2 linked regions of the Oryctolagus cuniculus genome follow. The protein of the gene in region 2 binds, or shares a complex with, the protein of the main gene of each other region. Links are inferred from orthologs where the notes say so. Each region holds a gene or a part of one and is shown on either strand. Other genes may lie near its edges.

Region 1 (4,889 bases), on a different chromosome or scaffold from region 2:
GTCCCCTTAGAGGATCTCTCCACACACTGCATGTCAGTGCTGAGGACAGGACGTGGGACTTCCTGTAAAGCTGGCTACCCAGGCACCGATGCACTCAAAGAAGAGACAGACGGAGATGGAGCTTTCTTGGGACTGAGCTCTTCACTAACACTGAAGAAATAAACCGACTTCTGCCGGCCAAGACTAGACTGGGTGCTGTATGTACTCTCCAAAGGGGTCGCCTTTACCATGTGAACTCCACGCTTTCCACTGGACCTTGAGGAGACTGGAATATCTGGAAAGCTAATCAGGCAATGGCTAGAGCCGAATGGAATGCCCACTCAGCTCAGCTGTCTGTCAATTGGCATGTAAGGACTTGGCAACCACCATCTTTGTCCTACTGCATAATGGTATACTGGCTGCATCAGTGTAACACACAGAAACAGCAAAAAGTTAAATAGTGGAGAGGCTTGCGCTGTGGTGCAGTAGGTTAATTCTTTGCCTGCGGCACCGGCATCTCATATGGGCACTGGTTCTAGTCCCAGCTGCTCCTCTTCCAGTACAGCTCCCTGTTTATTGCCTGGGAAAGCAGAAGATAGCCCAAGCACCTGGGTCCCTGCACTCGAGAGGGAGACTCAGAAGAAGCTCCTGGCTCCTGGCTTTGGATCAGCCCAGTTCGGGCTATTGTGGCCATTTGGGGAGTGAACCAGTGGATGGAAGACCTTTCTCTGTCTCTCCGTCTGTCTGTAAATCTACTTCTCAAATAAACAAGTAAAATTAAAAAAAAGTTAAACAGTGTAAGAGGCGCCTTTCCTCTAACGAGGGGACTTAATTCTTCCACCTCCCGCAGCAGCTTCTTCAGCATGGCCCTAGGGCCTTTCAATAGCTGGCATTTTAAGTGCCTGTGAGCCCAACATGCTAAGACTGTATTATTACTGTCACCAAAATTGCATTCAATCCTGAGTTTACAGGTGTGTTAAAAATAAAGATAGCCATCTTCTACTCTGTGCCACCTTGAATGCTGTGCTGAGTTCTAGGGATAAAGAAGAACTAAAAAGCATCTCAGAAGAGTAGTGGACGTGGGGAAGGATCGTGAGAAGGAAACCACGTGAGGCCATGGGAAGTGTGGACAGTGAGGCTCTGGAGAAGACGACAGGAAACATGACAGCTTGCTCAAATACCGAACCGCTTCCATCTGAAACCGGCCAAGAGCAAACCTGGAGTAGGCAGGGTCAGTGAATGGAGGTTATGGTGGCAGATCTAGTTTCAGAGCAAAACCTTTCCAATGCTAAGTGCTGAGAGTGCAATAAGCCAGATACTGAAGGAATTAAACCTGCTTGGTGCTGGTGGTGGTGGGGCGGTCACCTAGGCACAGCAGGAACCAGAGAGCATTTTACGCCCTGAGATTCTGCGCTCACCTGACGTAGGCCTTGATGCTCATGCGGCCATTCTGAAGACTCGTATCCACAGTGAGGTGAATGGGGTTAGGGGCCTCCCGGCTGTAGTACTCGTGGATCAGCACGGAGTGCTCCGTGATGTCATGGCCTGTAGCGTACCTGCAGAAAGGAACAGACGTATGGACTCATGTCTGCATGTGACACCAATACCAAATCTAAGGGTGGCATGGGTGTCTCTAAGGAGATACCCCCATCATAGTGACACCTAGTGATACCAAATGCCAAAGACAATATATACACGACTGTCAAATCCAACCCAAGGCTGACTTAGTGCTTTTGAAAAACTGCAAGTTACCTGCAAGGCAAAACAACAACATCAAAATAAAACTTGCACAGTAAAAGCTACAATCCAAGATAGATATTCTTGGCCTCACAAGATCAGAACTGCCAGCAAAACAAACTTAATTCATAGCTCCTTGAAAAAACACACTTTCAATACTCTGACTCCAAAAAGGGAGGGCAGGATCTAGTCTGGTGGTAAAGACCGTGGCAGTCACTGAGAGACTCCCCACCTACCCCCATCCCCAACTTACCAGCCCAGGATGAGTTCATTTGGAGAGACTTTTTTGTGCAATTCATACATGTTCTTAGCAAATTCCATGTCAACAGCCACCTAAGAGAGAAGGCAGAAAAGCAAGCTAAGAAGCCAGAACTCCAAAGAAAAAACAAAACAAAACAAAACTTGGGTAAAAGTATGTGAATGGCAGAGACCCCTTGGCTGTAGGAGCTCCAGTTATGAGCACAACAGGCTGTATGGGAGGGGCATCGAGGGAGGCCTCGCCAGTGAACAGCCACGCACTGCAGGACAGATCAAACCCCACTCACTTCATCTTCTGACTCGTTGTGCGGCACTGAGAAACAATTGGTGACCTCCACTGAGTGCTTGTCAACAGTTCCTGTGAGAGAGAGAACGAGACAGGGGTTATAATCCTGGACTCCCAACAGCCTCCGACTCCTCAGATGCTTTTGGAAGTATCCTCTAAGTCACCGAACACCAAACTGAACTCAGCAGCTCCAAGTTCAGCGTCATTGGGCCCAGGATTCTCCAGAGAACTGAGATTCTGCAATGACCTCCAATTCTTCAGGCTGACCATCACCAAATAAGGCTCATCCTTCCTTCCCAAGGTTTCTTCTTGCCTCTTACTTTCCGCTACCAGCCCTATGCAGACCTCTATGCACTCTAGACCATCTCCATGAAATGGAATCTGCAGAAGTACCAACAAGGTCTCTAAAGCCTGTATGGATTTACTTTCATTCCATTTCAAAGTCAGGAGCTTGGAACTCAATCTGGGTTTTTCACATAGGTGATAGGGACCCAAGTACTTGAGCCATTATCTGTTGCTTCCTGGGGTGTGCATTAGCAGGAAGCTGGATCCAGACATGGGAGGGGCGAGTACCAGGCACTCTGATAACAGGATGTACATCTTAACCACTACAACAAATGCCTACCCCCAGGAAAACTTTAGTCAATGCAGTCTACTGAGACAGTGCCTAGTCTGAGCAGTTTTAGGGAGCTTGATTTGTACATTCCTTTTTTTAAGACCTTATTTATTTGAGAGGTAGAGTTACAGACAGTGAGAGGGAGAGACAGAGAGAACGGTATTCTATCTGCCGGTTCACTCCCCAAATGGCTGCAACGGCCAGAGCTAAGCCGATCTGAAGCCAGGAACCAGGAGCTTCCTCCAGGTCTCCCACGCCGGTGCAGGGGCCCAAGGATTTGGACCGTCTTCCACTGCTTTCTCAGGCCATCACAGAGAGCTGTTTTGGAAGAGGAGGAGCCAGGACTTGAACCAGCACCCATATAGGATGCCAGCGCTGCAGGTGGAAGATTAACCTACTACACCACACTGATTTGTACATTCTTTTAGCCATGTGGTCCGTGGTCATAGCCTCAAGCCTACCATCTCCAGAAATTCTCTACTTGTCAGTCTCTCACCACAAACTTCTGTTCTTTTAGTTCTGAAGTTCTGACACTTTTACTCCCATTATATCCCTTCCTCCCTCTCTCCCTTCTTTCTTTTTAAAGATTTATTTATTTGAGAGACCCTCGCTTCTCAAATGGCCTGAACTGCCAGGGCTGGGCCAGGCCACAGCCAGGAGCCAGGAACTCCATCCTGCTCTTGCACATAGGTGGCAAGGACCTAGTACTTGGCTCATGTTCAGTGGTCTTCCCAGGTGAATTGGCTGGGAGCTGGTCTGGAAGCAGAGTAGCTGGGCCTTGAACCAGCACTACAATATGGGATGCTGGTGTCATAAGTGGTGGCTTAACCTGCTGCACAATGCTGGCCCTGCCATCTCTTAATCTACCAGCATCACCCAGCTCTGGCTTCAAGTGCTTTCGGCTCTACCACAGATCATAATGTTGCCTGTATCCACTAAAGTCTGTCCAATTCCAATTATTTAGTTTTTTTTTTCCCTTAGCTTAAACTTTGTCCCTAAACTCACTGGATTTAAATCTTTTATCTATTTGACTTCTCATCAGCATTCAAAAGACTTGACTACTTCCTCTATTTTAAAACTTTCTTTTCTATGGGTTTCCACATCACCAGTCTTCTCTGACCTAGATATGTTTTTATGAATAAAAGATTACATGTATGGGGCTGGTGCTGTGGTGTAGTGGGTAAAGCCGCTGCCTGCAGTGTCAGCATCCCACATGGGCGCCGGTTCAAGTCCTGGCTGCTCCACTTCCAATCCAGCTCCCTGCTATGGCCTGGGAAAGCAGTAGAAGATGGCCCAACATGGGAGACCAGGAAGAAGTTCCTGGTTTTGGATTGGCGCAGCTCCAGCCATTGTGGCCATTTGGGGAATGAACCTTTCTCTCTCTCTGCCTCTGTCTCTCTGTAACTCTGCCTTTCAAATAAAATAAATAAATCTTTACAAAAAAAATTTCACAAGTGTGGTTACTTAAGTATCATGCACAACTGTTTTCTCGCTATAAAGGCAAAGTTGAGTAGCTGTGACAACTACACACAAAGCCAAAAATATTTACTGGCTGGCCCATTACACAGTCTGCCAGTTCCTGCTTTAGCTGATCTCACTGGTTTTCATGGTGCCCATGACAACTCTGTAACCCAATGACATTAATTCCTTAGCTGACATCCTGTCCACACATCCTGCACTCCAGACCATAATACTAAAATTACCTACCTCACACTCCACTGGAATGCTCAGGGGGTATCGCAAAAGAAATACATGCCAAACTGAAAGCAATCTCTACATTGTTTCTTCTTCCACATCTAATCAAAGATCGAGGAGTCATCTTTGACGCTTCCTCTAATTCTTCACTTCTGGTTACACCAAGTCCTAATTCCTGTCTCTCAACTATCCCACACCTTTCTGCCTGCTCTACCCGTGTTTCCCTAATACCAGCACAACCTCTATCACCTGGTGTCCATGCACAGCAAAGCCTGTCTCTTACGCACGCTCTACCCAGCAGCCAGAATAATCTTTAAT
Region 2 (5,056 bases):
CGCTTGGAGCTGCTTTTTTTTTTTTTTTTTTTTAAGTTTTCTTGATGGTTTTTCTTTTTTTTTTTTTTTGACAGGCAGAGTGGACAGTGAGAGAGAGAGAGAGAGAGAGAGAGAGAGAAAGGTCTTCCTTTTGCCGTTGGTTCACCCTCTAATGGCCGCTGTAGCCGGCACACTGCGCTGATCCAATGGCAGGAGCCAGGTGCTTCTCCTGGTCTCCCATGGGGTGCAGGGCCCAAGCACTTGGGCCATCCTCCACTGCACTCCCGGGCCACAGCAGAGAGCTGGCCTGGAAGAGGGGCAACCGGGACAGAATCCGGTGCCCCAACTGGGACTAGAACCCGGTGTGCCAGCGCCACAAGGCGGAGGATTAGCCTAGTGAGCCGCGGCGCCGGCCCTGGAGCTGCTCTTTCTAGAGGCGCATCTGTTATGAAGCAGAGCAGCACTAACACAAGGCTGCACAAAGGAGTACCCTGAAATAAAAAAAGAAATGCCACTAAACTGTGCCAATAAACCCCCCAGAAAACAAAAAACAAAATGAGAAAAAAAGAGAGGGGCCGGCGCTGTGGTGTAGTAGGCTGAGTCTCAGCCTGCAGTGCCAGTATCCCATGAGCGCCGGTTCGAGTCCCGGCTGCTCCTCTTCCGACCCAGCTGTCTGCTCTGGCCCGGGAGGGCAGCAGCAGGTGGCCCAAGTGCCTGGAACCCCGCACCCGTGTGGGAGACCCGGAAGAAGCTCCTGGCTTCAGATCGGTCTAGCCATTGCAGCCATTTGGGGAGTGAAGCAGTGGATAGAAGACCTAACAGCAGAGCTGGGCCTTCGGGCTTCCTGCCGATGGGCCTCCGTCCCGCACAGCAGCCCGGAGCCCTGCCGCCCCCGCAGTCCACCCACGGCCCAACAGCACCGCGCCAGCACGAGGGAGGACGTGAGGGAAGCAGCTTCCTGTGATGCTGAGCGAGCGTCCGAGTCCAGCACAGGCGGCTGGGCCTGCAGGGAGACCACCGGCCTGGACGACAGGCGGGGCGGGAGCCGGACACGCACACGGTGGACGCCAACAGGGGTCAGGATGGAGCGGGGATGAGGACAGACCAGGGGAAGGGGGCTGCTGCTTGGCGGAGGCTGCTGAAGCAGTGCGTTCTACACGCCCACGCTCCTGCTCAGTGAGGCGCTAAGCGGAGGGAAAGCTCAAAGCACGAAAACCAGACAGAGTCAAGGTGACGGAAGGAGGCGGCTCCTCCAGCTGGGGCTCACCCTGGAATCCCACTCGTTGAGGGTCTTGATGTTGATGAAGGACACTTCCCCGTTGGCTCCGGTCATGACCCCGTCGTGCTCACAGCGCACGATGAGGTCAATGTCGTCCCCCAGCTTCCACCTGCGGTAGCTGCAAGGACGGAGCAGTGCTGGGTCCCGGCCCGGCCCTCGCCCCACCTCCCGCCAGGAGCTCGCGCCCCCGAGAGGCGCCTACCGGTACGCAACGGAGGCGATCTCGTTCTTGTCCATGTCGTCCTCCACGAACGGGTTTGGGTTGGGGAAGTTGTACCGCTCCTTCCCCTGCAGGAGGCCAGACAGGCGTCAGGCCTGCTGTTCCCTCACCCTCCCGACGCCGGCACTGAGTTCCGACGCGCCAGTCCCGTGCTACCCCCACAGCACGGCTCCTAGCCAGCGTCCGCGCCCCTCCGCTCCGCTCCCAAGGGAGGGCTCGGCTGGTCCCACCGCCTAGAGCAGTGTCATGTCTGTCAGACAAGTGCTAGAACGAGGGGACTTCACAAGTCTGGAGAATGGAATTAAAAGGTAAGTTTATTCTGTGCAAAAAACTGAAGTCCACACAAAAGGAGTCTTCAAAACATTCGTGGAAAATGTGTTGAAGATGCATCATTTTCAAATTTTTGTTGGCACCAAAACAAACACCTTTTCAATCCATTTTCCACAAACTTGTTAAAGAACTCGTGTGTTATAGTTTTACAGGGAGGAAACACGCCAAGGCCACAAGCTAGCTATTAAGTAGAGGAATCCAGGGTTCAAAGCCAGAAAGTCTGACTTCAAAGCCCAAGTCCAAAACTCCTCGGCCACAGGCACGGACCACACCTGTCCCCTACAATCCCATAACCCCAGAGCCCAGTCTGAAGCAGGTGCAATCGGTGGCAGCGAAGCTGCCGTCAGCTCACGCCTGTCTGCTCACCATTCTCAGGCACTGCTGGGAGAAGTTGTGGTTGATGTATGTCGCTTCCATGGCCAGGTTGCGGGGCGAGTTGAAGGAGTTGCCTTCATCCTGCGGGGGCTCATTGGCTGTCTCGCTCACGGTCAGCAGGTCTGCGGAAATGGCAGCGTGGTCACCCACCCTGGCAAGAGCCCCCAGCAATGTGGACAGTCCCAGGACACAGGCCCTCCCTTCATGGGACAGCCAGCCACTGTGTGACACACTTGGGTAACTTCAGAATACTTGATTCTGTCAGCCTTTCAACAAAGAAACGGCCTCAGGCTTCAAGCTTAGAGCACCATTATTCCAGCCTGCGCTCCGGCTCACTAGGCTAGGTGCCAGCACCCCGGGGCTCTAGTCCCGGCTGGGGCGCCGGAGTCTGTCCCGGTTGCTCTTCTTCCAGGCCAGCTCTCTGCTGTGGCCCGGGAGTGCAGTGGAGGATGGCCAAAGTGCTTGGGCCCTGCACCCGCAGGGGAGACCAGAAGTACCTGGCTCATGGCTTTGGATTGGCGCAGCGCCGGCCGTAGCGGCCATTTGGGGGATGAACCCACGGAAGGAAGACCTTTCTCTCTGTTTCTTTCTCACTAACTGGCTGTTAAAACAAACAAACAAACAAACAAACAAACCAACCAACCACCATTATTCTCTTTTATCTTCTGAGTGGCCTGGTTTTCATTGTGGCTGTGTGTGTATCCATATTTACACATCAAATAAATATATTGTATTGTTTCCTTGGTAAACTCACTGCAGCAAAAAACAACCAGGGGGCCTTCCATTTAATCAGAAATACAAAGTGCACATAGTCTGGAAGCAGAGTGTGGTGCCATCCACACCTGGGGGAGGCAGACACTTTCCTACGGCTCTCCAACGTGGGGCTTATTCTCCGTCAACAAAGCCACCCAAGGCTTGGCGAGCGACTCACGGCCGGACAGAAGGAGTCCCCAGCGGTGCACAGCAGAGGGAGACCGCAGAAGGGGACGTGTTGGCTGGCCCGCTGTGACCAGCACACACCGTGCACACCCTGAGACGCCCACTGTGACCACACCTCCCCCAGGCCTTCGGGCTGTGCCTTGAAAAGCCCCTCACCAAAGTCAGAGTTGTCCCGCTTGTCGAAGAAGAGCTTGGACCCGACTCTCTGGACCACGATGTCCCAGGAGTACACGGAGCGCGTGCAGCTCATCAGCGTGGCCAGGATGGCGTCAGTGGCGAACACGTTCCCCTGGGTCTTAGCCAGCTGCAAGGACGAGACACCCCCGGTCCAGCTGCCCACTCCCGCCTCTGCTCGCCGCACGGCCCCTGCCTTTCTCGTCCCTACGCCTCCCCGGGTGCCCGAGAGGGCTGCAGCCTAGCAGCTGGAGCGTCCGTTAGCAGCGTCACCAGGACCGTGGCTGAGCCCCCGCAGACTGTGGCGAGTGGTCCCTGGTGGCTCGCCCTGCTCCCCACGGCACGGCCGCGTACACTAAACCCCTTTCACAGATGAGCAAACTAAGGCTGCGGAGCTGAATCCAGGCGGCCCGGCAGGGCTGGGATCCGGGTCAGGCACTGTCCACACTCATCTACGCCCCGGCCGCCCTTGGCCTTGTTCCCATCTAACCGTCAGTCTGACTCCAAGACTTACGTAACAGTTCCAACCACACACACAAACGTGCCGCTCTCAGCCGGCCCCGGGGCTCGGCCGTGATCCCAGCGGGGAGGGCGGGGCGGGGGCAGACCTTGCGGATCACGGGGTCGTCCGTGGTGGTGACCGTGTGGAAGATGCGCTTGATGCTGCGCAGTGGCTTCTCGCTCCGCGTGGTGATGCGGTCGAAGGCCTTGTCGTAATATTCCAGGGCCCCGCAGCACTCGCTGTGGGAGAGGCGGACAGACAGGGTAAGGGCGGCGCCAAGCCCGCCGAGGCCTGACCCAGAGGCTGAGGCACGGAGACGGAGAGCAGTGAGCTCTACGGGGGGATGTGCTCTCTGTGGGCTCTGCCCCTGCCCCCACAGAGCGGGGCAAACGCAACCCCTGCGCCCAGCCTCCTCGTGCTACCTGTTCCCCATCAAAGGTTTACTTGAAGGGCAGGGTGACAGGCCTGCCATCCCCCGGTTCATGCGCCCAAAGCCCTCAACCACAGGGCGGGGCCGGGCAGAAGGCAGGAGCCTGGAACTCCACCTGGGTTCCCACATGGGTGCAGGACCTCAGCACCTGGGCTATCCTGCCGCCTCTCCAGCGCGTCAGCAGGAGCTGCACCGGAAGTGAGGAGTATGGGTACGGGATGGGGCGCCCAAAGCCACGCCTCCACCTGCTTGGCCATGGCGCCCGCCCAGCCTCCTTAAAGCCTGAAGCCCGGGGCCAGGGCTGGGCTGTCCCAGAGGCGCCTGTGTGCTGACTCCGGCCGCGCCGGGTCCCCACCCACTTAGCTCCGGCTCCTTGCCTCTGAGGAACGCTGTAGACCAGCGTGCCTCGCTGTGGGTGCCAGGGAGCTGGCAGAGACCGGAGCTAGCACCAGCAGACTTGTCCTGCGTTCTCTCTTCCCCCTTTCCATCTCCTCTGCTCGGGGTTCCAGGGAGGGGAAGGAAGCCTCAAGTGTAACCACTCCCCCCACCCCGCCCCTCTTCCTTGTTCAAAGCTGCAGCTCAGGCCGGCGCTACTCACATGTCCTGAGGCTCGGACACCTCCAGGTAGCGCATCTTCAGCAGCTGAGGGAAGTCCATCTCCTCCTTCACCTCCCAGTCGCTGCGCACCTCCACCGAGGAGTCCCGCGGCTTCTGTGCGGGAAAGCAGCCGAGACAGAGGAGAATTGAAGGGCTGCTGCTAGTGAGCCCCGCGCTGGCTGCGCATTCTGGCTCTCAAGCTCTCTGGGTACCTGGGTCAGGAGCTCACGA

Evidence for each region. Proteins that work in one complex are often made in the same cells at the same time.
Region 1: EIF3D (region 2) and EIF3F share a complex: the UniProt entries of both Homo sapiens proteins name them as parts of the eukaryotic translation initiation factor 3 (eIF-3) complex. The link is inferred for Oryctolagus cuniculus from reciprocal best matches to the Homo sapiens genes EIF3D and EIF3F.

Annotation. Positions count from the first base shown.
Region 1 is NC_091432.1:58,221,816-58,226,704, forward strand, and holds part of EIF3F (eukaryotic translation initiation factor 3 subunit F), read right to left. Parts: intron 2,333-4,889; coding exon 2,262-2,332; intron 2,050-2,261; coding exon 1,970-2,049; intron 1,536-1,969; coding exon 1,398-1,535; intron 1-1,397. UniProt on the Homo sapiens protein: Component of the eukaryotic translation initiation factor 3 (eIF-3) complex, which is required for several steps in the initiation of protein synthesis.
Region 2 is NC_091442.1:113,759,189-113,764,244, forward strand, and holds part of EIF3D (eukaryotic translation initiation factor 3 subunit D), read right to left. Parts: intron 4,940-5,056; coding exon 4,827-4,939; intron 4,038-4,826; coding exon 3,905-4,037; intron 3,427-3,904; coding exon 3,279-3,426; intron 2,306-3,278; coding exon 2,175-2,305; intron 1,547-2,174; coding exon 1,461-1,546; intron 1,377-1,460; coding exon 1,247-1,376; intron 1-1,246. UniProt on the Homo sapiens protein: mRNA cap-binding component of the eukaryotic translation initiation factor 3 (eIF-3) complex, a complex required for several steps in the initiation of protein synthesis of a specialized repertoire of mRNAs.